2 linked regions of the Lepisosteus oculatus genome follow. The protein of the gene in region 2 interacts with the protein of the main gene of each other region in a pairwise test. Links are inferred from orthologs where the notes say so. Each region holds a gene or a part of one and is shown on either strand. Other genes may lie near its edges.

What was found. The genes of interacting proteins can lie anywhere in the genome.
Region 1: the proteins of pde4dip (region 2) and immt interact in a two-hybrid assay, tested with the Homo sapiens proteins (2 studies listed by BioGRID and IntAct, with this or other methods). The link is inferred for Lepisosteus oculatus from reciprocal best matches to the Homo sapiens genes PDE4DIP and IMMT.

The regions. Positions count from the first base shown.
Region 1 is NC_090696.1:35,614,535-35,622,486, forward strand, and holds the start of immt (MICOS complex subunit MIC60), read right to left. Parts: upstream 3,008-7,952; 5' UTR 2,855-3,007; coding exon 2,813-2,854; intron 339-2,812; coding exon 265-338; intron 1-264. Other genes in the region: mrpl35 (large ribosomal subunit protein bL35m), read left to right, coding at 5,118-5,142, 6,455-6,650. UniProt on the Homo sapiens protein: Component of the MICOS complex, a large protein complex of the mitochondrial inner membrane that plays crucial roles in the maintenance of crista junctions, inner membrane architecture, and formation of contact sites to the outer membrane.
Region 2 is NC_090704.1:7,911,394-7,918,690, forward strand, and holds the start of pde4dip (myomegalin), read right to left. Parts: upstream 3,015-7,297; 5' UTR 1,972-3,014; coding exon 784-1,971; intron 1-783. UniProt on the Homo sapiens protein: Functions as an anchor sequestering components of the cAMP-dependent pathway to Golgi and/or centrosomes.

The sequences.
Region 1 (7,952 bases), on a different chromosome or scaffold from region 2:
TTCTTACACTATGTTAGTTTAAGGTCCAAAGAGAAGTACTCATGCAAACATTAATTACACTGTATCTCAAGGCTAGACAGGGCCTGAGAGAAACCTAACTACTGTACTATACCAACAACGTGTGCGCTGTCTGAAAAACTGCACATCACAGATCAGTCCGTCTCAAAGGCCCAACCAGTTATTTTTCTGTAAACGAGATTGAGGAGGTGCAGGAAACTGAACTCCCATTCTTCCTCCATGACACCCGGGAGTGAGAGTACGTACCCAGACCTTCCTGATGTCGTGTAGCGCCGGCAAGGCAGCAGCGGACGGACCGACACTTTACCGCACAGGCAGGTCTGCAGAGAGCAAAGGAAAATACCGGCGCGGTCACTTCATCTGCTCACTTTACTTCCTCGGCTCCTTCCGTACATTTGAGGTTCAAATACTTCACAAATCTTCACAAGTACATTTTATAAAACAATCTTCCTGATTCAGCGTACAGTCTAAGCTATTTAGGGGGGAAAAAGTAAAGTGTAATGGATAGAACAGAATGAACACCGGTGACCTACTGTATATACAGTAATTGTACAAAGAGGCACTAACACCACAACAAATGAGCACTGTAATCAACAGCATTTGTTGCCATTCTAATGCCTCGTGGCTCTGTGGCTCAGGATCTGCGTCTGTGGCTGGAAGGTTGCCGGTTCGTATCCCGCAGCCGGCAGAGGAATCCTACTCCATTGGGCCCCTGAGCAAGGCCCTTAACCCAACCTGCTCCAGGGGCGCCGTATAAATGGCTGACCCTGCGCTCCAACCCCAAGCTTCTCACCCTGTCTGTGTGTCTCATGGAAAGCAAGTTGGGGTATGCGAAAAGACAAATTCCTAATACAAGAAATTGTATATGGCCAATAAAGTGATCTTATCTTATATACAGTGCCTTAAAAAAAATTAATTAAACTACAGATGTTTTTTTAAAGCCAATACAAACTTGAATGCTCAACCTGACACTTTTATGGGCGAAAGACATATAGAAAACATCATATTCCTGTAACAGTTCAAGTAGGGAGCTGCATCAGCATGCACAGGCTGCAAAGGAACAAGTTAAAGGTTTATTCCATGCTGAAAAGAGAAGAAATGAAACACAACGTTTCTGCTGTGAAGCCCTCTTCAGGTGTGTCAAAGGAAAGTGTCAAATCTCAGAGGAAATCCTTTAGGAATGATATTATAATTATGACATCTGTAAAGGAATAAGAGATGGTTAGAAAGCCTGGTCTTGGAACAGACTGCTGTGAAGAGACGGAATGCTGGTTTAGTGAGAAAAGGGGGCAGGCAGCCCAGGGAGGAGGAGAAGGAATGAAGAAGATACAGTATCTAGAAAAAGATATTCCTGTAATTAACATTTTCGTTTTGAATTTCTTTGCCGTTTTTGCTCACATGTACATGTAACTTATTCACTCATAAATTTCTTCACTTACAATCAAGATTTGATTAGCAGTGTTCAAAAAAATCTTCATACACAATTCATACTCAGCAAAATTAGGTATTACTGGAAGGGATGTGAATACTTCTGCAAGGCACCGTATATGGGGCACCTAGACTGCTGAGCTCACTAAATGTATCAGCTATCGAGTTTCATAATACACTACATATTTAGTGAGCAAGGTGTATATTAAAATATGCCACAGGGATACTTGGCAATTTTTGATGGCAGCACTTGTGTTTATCTCTTTTATACGAAATAAAGGGAAAATCAGATGCAACACTCTCATAAAACACTTTAAAGTGGGAAAGCAGAATAAAGCTGAATCACAACTAGTTTATCGTACTATCCCAGTTTATTTTACTTTTAGGGAATATGTTTGATGTGTTATGCAAACCTAATTTTACACCGATCGAGGTCGACAGCTTTCATGAGCATCAACCTTGTCTGAAAAGCAAAACAGAGTATTTCAAAATCTCCAATAACAAAAAGACATTTGGAGCTGCAATTTAAAATCATTTAGTTTTACAAAACAGTATTAAGAGACCTACTCACTAGGGGTAAAACAATGCATTATAGGAGTAGCACGATCATTTCAAGTTACGCTATGAAATCATGTCTCCCTAAATCAGAACTTGGTAATGTAAATACATTTCCCCTGTCTCTTACACCCAGGTATAGCCAATGTCGAAACCCCGATTCATATACATGTTCCGCTGGCTAATGAAAAAAAGTTTTAACAAGGTCATGTCCTTCTGTCATCCAAAACGTTCAGATCCTTTCATGCAACTGCGCTTCTTATTACGATTAACTGAGCACTTAATTAACGCCAAACATCATTACGCTGTTTGTACTACATACTAGCAGCATTTTCTTAAAACAAAAATCGTATCAGCACGAAGAAATTACAGTTTGACATTGATGAAGCCACTCCTCGCAAATTTAATTCCCACTTTACTTTCCAAACTACTTCAAAGCCGGGCGCTTGATCCCACCTTATTCATTTTTGAAGACACTTATTGGATAACATCTATGTCGATCCTGGAATGTTCTGCGCTAATTCGTTCATCACTGCCGTCAATCATGTAAAAATGACACACCGTGCCCAGCCTAATAACGTGCTGTGCGTCATTTTACATGCACCATAGAAATTAAACCACTTTAGAAAATGCAAAAGAACGATAGCTCGGAAAGCATTTTTACTTCAATCTTACGGTTTTTAGAATTTCTATCACACATTGAGGCAAGAAAACTCCCCTATTGTATCAATAAATGCACGTCTAACAGGCCTCTTAAGAGTCGGATCAGTGAATGACAGGACCGACTTTCGTTTGTAAGAAACGGACTTACTTGAGCTGCAGCACTGGCTGCTTTTCCACAGACGCGCAGCATTGTTGTTGATATACTTTTAGAGTCGTTGCGAGCTGTAAAGGATTACGATCCCTCTTTAGTTAAACATGATAGGTACGTTCAGCCTCGAAAGCGCTTTTCCCGGACAACCCACACCGCCTCTCCAGCCCCCTTTGCCCTCTGACAGAGTAAGATGGCACATGCGCAGTTCTCCTGAACCGAGGGGCCCGCAAAGAGCAACTCCTAGGGGGCGGGTCTACGACGGCCGAGTGACTTGCGGGAAAGCCAATGAGAGCCCCAAGATCTGGGACCGGGCCCTTTCCCGAGCACATGGTGAGTCAGAGCTGTGTGCATGGGCCAGTCGCCACAAGGTTGTTACTGAGACAAAATTAAATTGAAGCAGTTTTTTCCGCCCAAGGTTATACATCTGTTTTACATATTGTAAAAGGAAAATCCGTGTTAAGAATACAAAAATAATTCAATATACAGTAGTCATTGGCATTATTTAGTGTTTTCAAAATGCAGATCTTTGTAGCTGCCTTTTGTGCAGGGTGATGAAATTTACATTAGAATAGTCAACTTTTTTTAGACATTTAGCAGCATGTTCCAGCACAAGAACACCAGAGGGATGGTGTTTAATGTTGTCAAGGCTAGCATAACACATTGTACAATATGTTACTGTGTGCCAGTCTGTTATGTGTTAACAATTACTTTAGACTTGAAGGTGTCTTAGTTCTGTGCTGTTGGGTTATTTAAGATTAGCCTGTAGGTTTTAGAAATAACTGACTTTAAGTTTACTTAAACTAGCGATGACACATTTGATTGAGTTGATGTTTCCTTACACCACCTTACAGAGCACGTTTTCATGCAGATCACAGTCTCAAAAAAGTAAAAATAACATTACAGAGAGAAAGTTATAAACTATTCAGAAATGGCCAGCAATCAATGTATTTCAAAAATACTTTATGCATGGTATCAACCATAGATAAAAAAGCTCAATACTAAGCATTTTAAAGTTCAAGCATTTAAAGAATTTTTAAACACAAATATAAAAATATGTGCAGTATATAGAATATATAAGAATTTGTAAGCAATCCTTATATTTGCAAAGGTGCAATACATAAGGGAAGACACTCTGAATTAAGACATAACACTGAGCTAAAAGAGGCTGCTACATGAGAACAAATAATAATAGCATTTTATTCAAAAGTGCTTTTAAAAAACTCAAAGTGCTAAGCAAAAGAACAAGTACCATGTTATAATAGAAAATAGCTGGCATATGATAGGAAACAACAAGACTAGGCTTCTGGTATTAGACCTGACCTCAAGACAGAGACATCTGAACAGTGGACATAACTTTGAAAACAAGTGGAGAAAGAAAAGGAATAAAAACTCTGGGTAGAAGACAACACACTCATGTGGGAATGTTTGTAACTTCTGTGGAGACCAGAGGATACATGAGGGACTATAGGATCCACTTTAGGAATCACATTCATAAGAATGCCTCTTGAGGTCTTTTTTTTCTTTTCTCTATTTCTGTTTCTTCTGACTCCACCTCCCTCTCCCTCACCCTCTCCCTCCCCTCCTCATCTGCCAAGAAGCTCTGTGTCATTCTTGCCTCTTCTACCTACTGTTTAAAGCACATTTCTCCTCTCTGGTGCCTTCCTCTTGAGCATCCTTCACAGAATTCATCCTTTCCTTACCAGCTATTCCACACAACCTCCACTCCAAGCCCTGGTACTGTCCTATAGACTACTGTCATTCCCTCTTGGATGTCCTCCAAGCTAAAACTGCAGCTCAACCAGAATTCCTCCCTTTTCTCATGCTCTTTCCTTACTCCAGTCCCAACACAAATCAAAACCATAGTCCACATTGTCAACTACTGTTTCAACCATGCTGGGATTTTCAATCTTCTTTCTCTCCCTAAACTCCCACCCTCTGTCTCTACTCCTTTTTAGCCATGTGAATATTATTGTGAAAAGTAAAATTAAAATTCACCAGTATATCTTCAAATATCCAGTCACTTATTCTTGAGTTACAATTACCGAAACAGCCCATTCCTTATTAATTCCTCGCAGACTATTGCATTTCTCTGCTTGCCTCAGTGCCAATACTATACACTGCCTCTCATCCGGAATAGTCTGTTTTTCTCATGCTTTAAACTTTAAAACCATATGAATTCGCCCATTATTGATAATAGCACCAAAATAATGATATTTTTTTCCACATCACGTCCCTCTTGCCTACCCGCACTATTTGTTCTAACTGATGTGCCGTAGTTTGGAGGTCGTGGTGGGGATTAAAGATGGCGGCCACCTTGAGAAGATGTGGTGTGTAAATTTTCGATTTATATTTCCTAAAACATTATTTGTTGATGATTGTAACTGTGGTTATCATCAAATCAAATATTTTTTTTTAATTTATACTGACGTATAACATTCTTCGGGGGGACAGAGCTATGAATTCATTTGTGATTTGTAATTTACTGTAGGTTGTAGGTTCTTATATGTTTTGCATTTCCTCATTAAGATCACTAGAATATTGCACTTGCAGACTCATCTGGAGTATGTTATTTTTATGTTACATACCAGTTCAGTCATGTTTGTATGTGCATGTTACTACTGTTTTGACACGGAAGCTGGTCCAAGAAATTATAGCGGCTTACTATAATTAAGTTTATAAGTGAATATTGCGTTATTTAGGGTGAAATTTGTACAACCTACACAACAAAACTATGTCTATAGCTATGACTTAGGACCCGTTTAGTTATAAATGCGTTTAGATAGCTGGAAGGTTGCTGCTGGAAGAGGTGTTAGTGGGGCCAGCAGATCGCGCTCACCCTGTGGTCTATGTGGGTCCTAATGCCCCAGTATAGTGACGGGGACACTACTGTAAAAAAAAACAGGTGCCATCCTTCGGATGAGACGTAAAACCGAGGTTCTGACTCTCTGTGGTCATTAAAAATCCCAGGGTGTTTCTCGAAAAGAGTAGGGGTGTAACCCTGGCGTCCTGGCAAAATTTCCCATTGGCCCTTACCAATCATGGCCTCCTAATAATCCCCCTCTATGAATTGGCTACATTACTCTGTTCTCCTCCCCACTGATAGCTGGTGTGTGGTGAGCGTTCTGGCGCACTATGGCTGCCGTTGCATCATCCAGGTGGGGCTGCACATTGGTGGTGGTGGAGGGGAGTCCCCATTACCTGTAAAGCGCTTTGAGTGGAGTGTCCAGAAAAGCGCTATATAAATGCAAGCAATTATTATTATTAATTATAGCTGAGATTGGGCAATCCATTGAATATTAGAATAGGTGCCACCTCTTTTTACTGCACTAGTTTCTGAAAAAAATATACATGATTCAAAAACCAGTGGAGTAATGGCTGTATTTAGAAGAATGTAATAGATGCAGGGTTATGAAGTCCTCCAATTATTGTTAACATTTTGCTTTGCAAGGAAAATGAGTGCAACAAGACTTGTTTGACAAGATTTTCCTTATATACAACTTTTTATTTTGAAGCAAAGATTAAGACTTGTATGGGTTAATAATACATTTAGTAAGTTTTTTCTTATGCTGCTGTCATCTAAGTTAATAGCATTCCTTGGTCACTGGATGCAGTGTTTCTAATATATGTCCTTGTACACAGGTTTGCTGAGGCCCCTGGTTCCACTTGTAGCTCAGGGCTGTGCTCGGGGGGCACCTGGCCTTGCTGCACAGATGTCCAGCAAGTTCTCAACTCTCCACCTGAGTCGCCCCCTCCCAAGACCCACACTCAGCTCCTCTGGCTGGGTCTCAGGAGTTGGCCAGAATCATATCCTGCCTTCAGATGGCATTATCCAGAGGTAAGTAGGGATGTGTGTGGGAGGGTATCCCAGCTCAGTTATCTGTTTCTCTCGGACAAACATGTATTGACATGAGTTGCAGTTCTGATCACTGCATCAATGCTGTTGTTTGATGAAGAGTGCCAGAAGCTAGATCTATATACCATATTTCTTCAATTTCATTAGCTATAGAAGATAGGACTAACAGTCTTTTCCCATTCGCCTCTGTCCTGTCCCAAAGGGAGTAGATATTTGAGCAAAAAGGAAGTATTTCATTTTTTGAAAGCATGTTAGTAACTGTTTTTTTACAGCAAATGTATTTTAAGTGCTGATGAGACTTCTGGTAAATACTTAAGCATACAAGCAAGAAATGTCTATGCCAGGACATAAATCAGCAAGGAAAGGATCTCAGCATTACTGTGCACAAATGCTGATGGCTCACAGATTTACATCTATAGGTGTCGGCAAGTCATGGTGATCAAGGGTCCTCAGAGATCAATTGAATGTGCTTTCAGTAGTCTATTACCATTCCAAAAAAGCCTGGTTTATTTCTGATATATGTATTTCCACAAGTGTTTTTTTTTAAGCTTGAAATATCTCATTGGTAATTTAATGGAGAGCTGGCAACACCAGACACCCCCTTTCCCCAGCAATAGTCTGGAAAAGCAAGGGTGTGCTGTACTATGATACGATGCCATGTATATAAGCAATACAGTGCACTAATATATTAAAGGACAGTGCAGTTATGTATTTACATATTCAGAAAGCATATATACTGTTGGAAAGAAGAAACGCAACATTTTCTGGTATGAGAATACTATAGTTATAGCTTATGTAGCTCTGCTCTCCTCCCCACTGATAGCTGATGTGTGGTGAGCGTTCTGGCACACTATGGCTGCAGTCCTGTCATCCAGGTGGATGCTGCACATTGGTGGTGGTGGAGGAGAGTCCCCATTACCTGTAAAGCACCTTGATTGGAGTGTCCAGAAAATGCTATATGAGTGTAAAGATTATTATTATTATTTTTATTGTTGCTGTTGTACTTGTTGTTGTTGTTAACACACAAGTAACTCAAACAGATGAAACAAGTAAACCAGAGTTTTTTTTTGTCTGGAAATAGGATTTTATGAGTTATTATTATTATTATTATTATTATTATTATTATTATTATTATTATTATTATGTACTTTCACAATAAGTTGTCAATTTGTTTTATAGCCCTCTCACCAGCAATACAGCTTGTGCAGTGAGGCATTCCCAATCACACGAAAGCTTGTTAAGTGCACTTTTACTCGAGGTCCAGATGGAACAATGCCTGATTAG
Region 2 (7,297 bases):
CTTGGCTCTAGAAGGAGAGGATGTGGCTGTAACTATTGTGCTGCATCACGTCACTGAGGTAACTGTTGTCATGCCAATGCTGAAATTACCAGAATGATCACAAGAGGCTGGCACATGTCCAGAGAAGGCAATCAAGGAGCAGATTATCAAGAGCACTGTGGTCTAAAATTTCTGAAAGTACATAAGATTACCCAGGACAGATCACACAACGATTTGCTGGCCATTCAAATACTCACGAAATATGATGCATATTCATAAAAGTACTGCATTGACATTCGCTACATGTCTGAGCTTCAGCAGTGCAGAAGCAGAGGGAAGACACTGTCTGCATTTAGAGAGATCAAAGAACTCCCTCCAGAAGCACCGCTTCAAATAATGTTATGTAACCAAATTTTATACATAAATGTGGTCATAAGATTCAATTTTATACTAATGCCGACAGATAATACTAAGGGAGGTTAATGTCTAAATGATTGTCAGGGTTTTACTATTGTCCTGGTATCATTTCTTGTTTAAAGATCACTCCTTCCCCTTCTACAGCTATCTCACCTACATTAGAATTCATAAACCATCTGGAATGCGTCGCCCAACAAGATGCTTTGACATGGGCTAAAAAAAACCTTAGAAAAATCACAAACCCCACTTCACGTTGCCTGATCAGACATAATACTCCAAGGAAAGTCACAGTGAAAATTCTTTATCCAGCTGCACTATTTTTTAGCACACTGACAGCAGAGTGAAGGATGTGAAGATGTCACTGAATGGCAGTACTGGGACGTCTACCTGAAAGCTAAAGGGCATGTACTCCTCATAGACATCCTGCCAGAGCTCCTCTAGTTCGGACAGCTCCAAGTGCATGTCCTGCTGAATTCTGGGAGGCACCATCTCTTGAAATTTGGCGGGAAATTCGGAGCCAGTGCCGTAAGGTGTCCTGAGTGTCAAGTCGGCAAAGGCCATTTTGCTGTTAGGTCCTGGGGGAACAGATTTAACCAGGACTGGCAGTTTGCTTCCCCGTGGGCTCTGGATGGGCCTGTACTCAACGTTTTTCACCAGGCTGAGAGCCAAGTCCAGCCTGTTGGCCTGCGCGGCCATATTTAGCTGCTGCGGGGCCTCTTCCGGCCAGGAATCAAACTTCTGGTCCTCTCTCATCTCTCTCTCTGCCTCTTCGTCCTTGGCGGCGGGCTGCCCCATCTCAACAGCCGTGTCCAGGGACTCCACCGACGAGCCGGGACTCATTCTCTCCGAAACGTCCGCGTCTTCCCCGCTCGTCTCGCCCACCGACTCGGGCACGGTGGCGACGGCCGCCGGCTCCTCTCCGCACACGCTGCTCACGACGCTGGCCGAGTACCGCGTGGAAGGCCCGCAGGAGATGCTCCGGGCCAGCTTCCTGGGCACCTTGCAGACGGCTTCGTAGTCCGAGTCGGCGACGCGCAGAGCCGCGCAACCGCGGCACCTCCTCGAGCGGTGGACGGAGATCTCGGAGGCGTGGCAGTGGTGGTGAGGGTCCGCCGTTTGCTCCTCGAGCTCGGCCCAGGATTCATAGCCCGAATAGGCGAAGTCCTCCTGGAGCAGAGCGCTGTACCGGAGGTCAGGCAAGCCGGAGATGTCCACCGTGCCGTCTCCGGCCTTGCCCTCCGGGCCCGCCTCGTCGCCGTTGGTCCTGCGGTACAGGCTCCCGATGCACTGCCTAAGCCGCTCCTTCTCCTGCAGCAGCCGCTGCAGCCGCTCGATGGACAGCGCCTCGATCCGCGCGATCACCGTGTCGAAGCGGTACACGCGGTCCAGCATGAAGGCGCACTTGCTGCAGGCGAACTCGCGCTTGCCGTCCCGGGTCAGCTCCCGGCCCAGCACGTGGGACAGCAGCACCTGCAGGTTGAGCTTGGAGGCCGTGTGGAAGATCCAGCGGCGCTGGTTGCCGCAGAGCTCCCGGGCGCAGATCCGGCAAGCGTCCTTCATCCTGGAATCCAGCATGGGCGCCCCCTAGCGGCAGGGAGGTCTCAGCCAAAGTAGGTCTCTTGAGCAGCACAAATCTGATTTGTGAAAGTTTGGTTTCAGAGCCAGCAATGTGCAATTAAACAGTGTAATATACAGTCCAATTTTAAAAGTTATTTTCCTGACAATATAAATTAAGTGGACTTTTAGCCTGAAAATACTCAAGCTTATCAAACTTATTTGAGCAATTCAGTGTTTAGTCGTTCATGTGCAAAAGATTCCTCCCAGTGAAGCTGCGAATTGTAATTGTTCGATGGAAAACAGAGATAAATGGCCATTTACGACTTGAAGCGAGATTTTAAACAGGCTGAATTAAATGAGATCAACAGCTGCTTTTCATACTGATAACCGCAATCAGTAATCAAAGACCCCTTCCTGCAAAGGCTCAATATCATCAGTGTACCGCTGGAATCGAGGCCAACATCCCGGCAGAGCATCTCCACGCAAATACGCACAAAATACTTTAAAGCTACCTTGGGTACCAAGACAGAAAAGGCTCAAAATCGCGTTGCTTGCACTAAAATAACACTATTACATAGGAAAGCCGCTTCGTGTTTTTAATCTTAATATTGGAAGAGACAAATAACTAAAAGGTGAAATTCAAAACAGACCCCCTTCTGTTGTTACGCTGCCAGTCCATTTTTAATTTTGTAATGGAAATCCTGATGCAATAGCGTGAAGGATTAAAGGAACATCCAATTGCGCGTTTAAGACAGCGTTTTCCGGGAAAACAAAACCATTATTTGTCACATCTTAGGAACGGATTTCCCGAACACGCGATGCCTGCGCATCTGCCCGATGAAGCTCAGCCTAATCAAAGGGCTCGCAGTATCATCACCGCCGCTGCCGTGTAATCCGACTTCAGTAACACTCCCGAGATCCACGGTCCCCGGACGAAGGTGAAAGTGATTTGAGGAATCCGAGCCTTATCTACAAATTACGGACGTCCCGTTGTATTTGCGCTTCATTATTTACACGCACTTCGCCCGGATAACGAGGCTGCAGCCCGAAATAGGTCCATTGAAAAGCTCGCAATGATGTGGCAAGACTGTAACCAGCTAGCGCTGCTATGGCGGGACTCACCATTTGAAAAGAAAAATAGGGGTATCTGTTCTAGCAATCATTCCCCAGAACCACAGGAATGAACGTGTTTGAAAAAGACTCAAGAGACCCTCTAAAGACATAATATCACAAAATATTTTTTTTCACTCGATTTGTTAATAAGTGTATAAAATGAAATCTGCTCCCCATTCTACAACACTGCCCCTCCTGCGAAACGTTGGTTCAGCCCGAGTGCAAGTAATTTGCATGGAGCCCTGTGCGAGCAGTGATCTGGCGTTCACGCCGGCAGAGGTGAAACGCTGAATTCTCCGGTTTAAAGGTGAAGGTCGCGTTAAACTGGCTCCCTCTGTTCGCTCAAAACATGCTTTATGCAGCCCTTCGGAAATTTGTCCTTAAAACGTGGAAAGCGTTAATGACTTCTTTTAGTAGAATACCCCCGAGTAAATACTGTTGAATAAACGTCGTTTCAGTTAAGAATCTTGAGAAGAAAAATTAAAATTACGCCAGTGTACCGAGACATTTTATATACAAGTGGATGTGGGTTTCAAAATCATCCAGTGTATCAGCAGGGGGGTGTTAAGCCAGGAGTCCTGTCTGAACTCCACTCTGGGCTTGTACAATATAGCCTCCTTCAAGCAAAGGCCGATTGCAATTTCTCACAGAATAGCTGTGTTCTCTTTCGTCTTTTTTTCAGCATGGAATAAACCTATTACTTGTTCCTTTGCAGCCTACGCATGCTGACGCAGCTACCCACCTGAAAATACCCATATACTTTATGCGCAAGTAAATTAATAATTAACTGAAAAACTAGGAAAACTAGTTACTAGTTATTGTTATTTAAGAGAGAATTACTGGACGTCACTATGAATCACTGTACTCCACCCATGTGTCTCTTGCAGAAGGCCTTTTGCTAGTAAAAATAAAACGTTCTTACATTTATTAAAAATAGCAGGTCAGACCCTAAACGAACACAAAATGCAGGTCTCCAACGTCAGTCAGAGTACTCTGTTCATCTGGGAGTGTGGTGTTGAGAAAACCAAGCCTACAAATCACATACACGATGACTTGAAATATCAGCTTCAAATATGACTCAAATCTAACTGAGAGAATGAAAGAGTATAAAGCTCTACCAATTGTATTCAAATGACTTCATCTTGTATACGAACACTGGAAAACTTTGAAGGACTTTGAAAAGATGTGCGTCATACTTTGATGCATTTCTATTGTTTTAGTAGGCTTTTAAAGCGGACCGCGTCACCAAAGTACCTTTCTCTAAAGTACCTTTCTTTCTCTAAAATTCTTTAAAGTCTGCATTGTCCTTTAAGAATCATACCCTAGCAGTAATATAGGCATGCCTTCTGAGCTTGCCAGTAAGAATAATTATAGCCAGAGGGACAAGATGAACTGCACTATGCCCTGCAGATCTCACCTGCAAAGCACTGCCCACTGTGACCGACAATTTTGTGCGGTATGACTTTTGCACTCTTTTGTTTTTCCTTGGAAAAGATTCGTACTTTGCCGGAACAACACCACACGCAAATGTGCTTTCAGTTGTTGCTCTGTTGCTTGGGGAGGAGGGGGACAAATACTTTCACAGCTCTGGTAAACTACTGCTTTAAAAGAGGAAACACAGCTTTGATGACCAGTATCTTTGTCAGTCTGCGTGAGCCCTTGAGGTGCATTAATACTTAACAGTGGTCACAAAGTCTACAGTGGTTACATTCTTGTTACAAAGGTTAGCCATTCCATTTTTGTTTTCGTTTCCACCATCCAAGAGCATCTGTAGTGCTATTAGGGCTTTTCCCCCAATAGCTCAACTATGTCTTGTGTTTTTGAAAGACAGGGGAAATCATTCACCTATAGTGCACAGATAGCCAGCAGGGCAAGAACACAGGGAGGGAATCGATTTAAACAACCTTTCCCTCTTGCCGGGCCTAGTCAGCTGTGTCCATAGGCTTCCTCCCTCCCAACAGTGAGAGAAGTGACAGCCTGGCTGTGAAAGGCCACATGTTGTGTGCAGAGCTGTGAGCAAACTCCTAAACAATGGGCTGACTTGGCACACACACAGACGCATGGGACCCACAGCAGGGACAGTCTGGACACTTGTGTCTCAGCGGGGGGGTGGCTGATGGCTGTAAATGAATAACAATAGCCAGAATCTCGGCATTAATAATAATAATAATAATAATAATTATAATTGCTTACACTTATATAGTGCTTTTCTGGACACTCCCCTCAAAGCGCTTTACAGGTAATGGGGACTCCCCTCCACCACCACCACCACATTAGCCATTCCTCTTTGTCCAACATCACTATTGAGAGGAAAACCTGGAATGAAGTTCCACTGTATCTAAACTTTGAATTACAGTGCAACGCAGACTAAAATAACTACCCCCCCAACAACGTTGGTAAAAATGACATATAATGACTAAGTAAATGACAAATATCTTTAAAATGCCATGACTATGAAAGGTGATGAAGACAAAGAGAGATTTCCATTTTTAAAAAACCAATAAAAATGAAATAATTAGGACAGAATTACCCCCCCAAAGGATTTGACTGCAGAAAAATGACCCTGATGTGCATATATAAACACATGTACCACCCGCTATACGTAATGTATGTCTGTTCATAAATAAAACAGGTTTCATTTTTTCACCAGTTAATCTTAAACCTGGATGTAAATATTAATCTCTCATTACAATAAATTCCATTTTTCATAATGAAAAAGTGATTATTTACATTAATACAGCTTGTTGGGACGTCACTGTTCTTACACAGTTTAGAATAAATTATAACATCTCTGCATGTTTACTCTTAAACTGGAACAGCCACAAGAGAGACGTATGAGCTTTCAACAGCCTTCAACAATAACGAGAACTGCAATTAAAAATCTATTTATTCTAATCAGTGGGAGTTACTAAACCTTACAGTGCAATTAAGGCACTTGATCGTGTTCCTTCAAAAGTGACAGCAACGACACAATGTAACACTGTAAGAAGCCTGGAGACAAAATGGCTAACTGAATGTGATATTAAACTGACTAATCTTCTTTAGTATCTTACCTTCTCAATTTCCAAGTTTAAGCCAGTTAGGTCAAATTTACGCGTCAGTTCCCAAATAAGAATTAATGTATTTTTTTAAAATACCTATAAAGTCAAACTGGTATCACTAAATTCCTATTTAATCAAGTTCCAAGGTTTTCATCACAATAAATATTGTTGAATTTCCTCTGTCTAATGTCACACCCTCTGACCTTGTGAGATTATTTTCTCCTTTTTTGCAGACACTTTTCGGCAATGACAGTCTAAATCAGCAAAGAGACACTTTCAATTACAGCTGGGAAGCATATCTGAGAGGGTGTGGGCATATCGTTAGCTTGTCATCTGTGTCTACAGGGAGTCTTTGTATAATTGGACCCATTTTAGGTTATAAATAAAATGCATTCACAAAAAAAGCATTTAAAATGCATTTATACACATCATTAGAAAACGATAAGGAACCCAAACACTAATCATCATCATCAGTGACAGGGAAAAGGGCTGGGAGAGATATCATTAAAACTAAGGACTTGGATTGAGACATCAGAGGATTTAGAAAGTGCAAAAACCTACACTGATGGATAACGGCGAATGCATTCCAAACAAGAAATAAATATAATAGTTTCGAAGAGTCTTGTTTTTATTTCAGTGCCGTTTTGTGATAACAAATTGATGGATTTTTGTTTTACAAGTCAAAAATATTCCCTTTCCAAGAAATGGCTCAAATTATACTTTAATCATTGTCTCTCTACCTCCTATTGCTTTTGCAGTTGTAGTTGCTTACTTGGTATTTGAAACATTTACTGTAAAAGAGCTGGCTAATTATGAGAACTATGCTTCCTGATTAGGACATCTGTATTTCTCTTGAAACAGATTTACATGTAATAGCCTGAGGGGTGTCAGGAAACTGGGTGTGTCTCAGAGAAGTACTTTACAGTATATTCTAACAGAACTGCTAGTAGAAAACACTACAGTTTATTTCAAGGCAAATATACTAAAAGGGTGCATGATGTGCCTCAATTATTGGAATACATTTAATCTTTAGGAGTAGGGTCTGATATGATTATTCAAATTCCTAGTTTTCTTATTTAAAAAGATATTTTCGGTAAGTAGCTCTATTAGCCAATAGATATAATATTAACATTCTTCCCTTCAGTTTATGTCCAAGTTTGGGTAAATGCTGATGCTATAGCGAAAGCAAT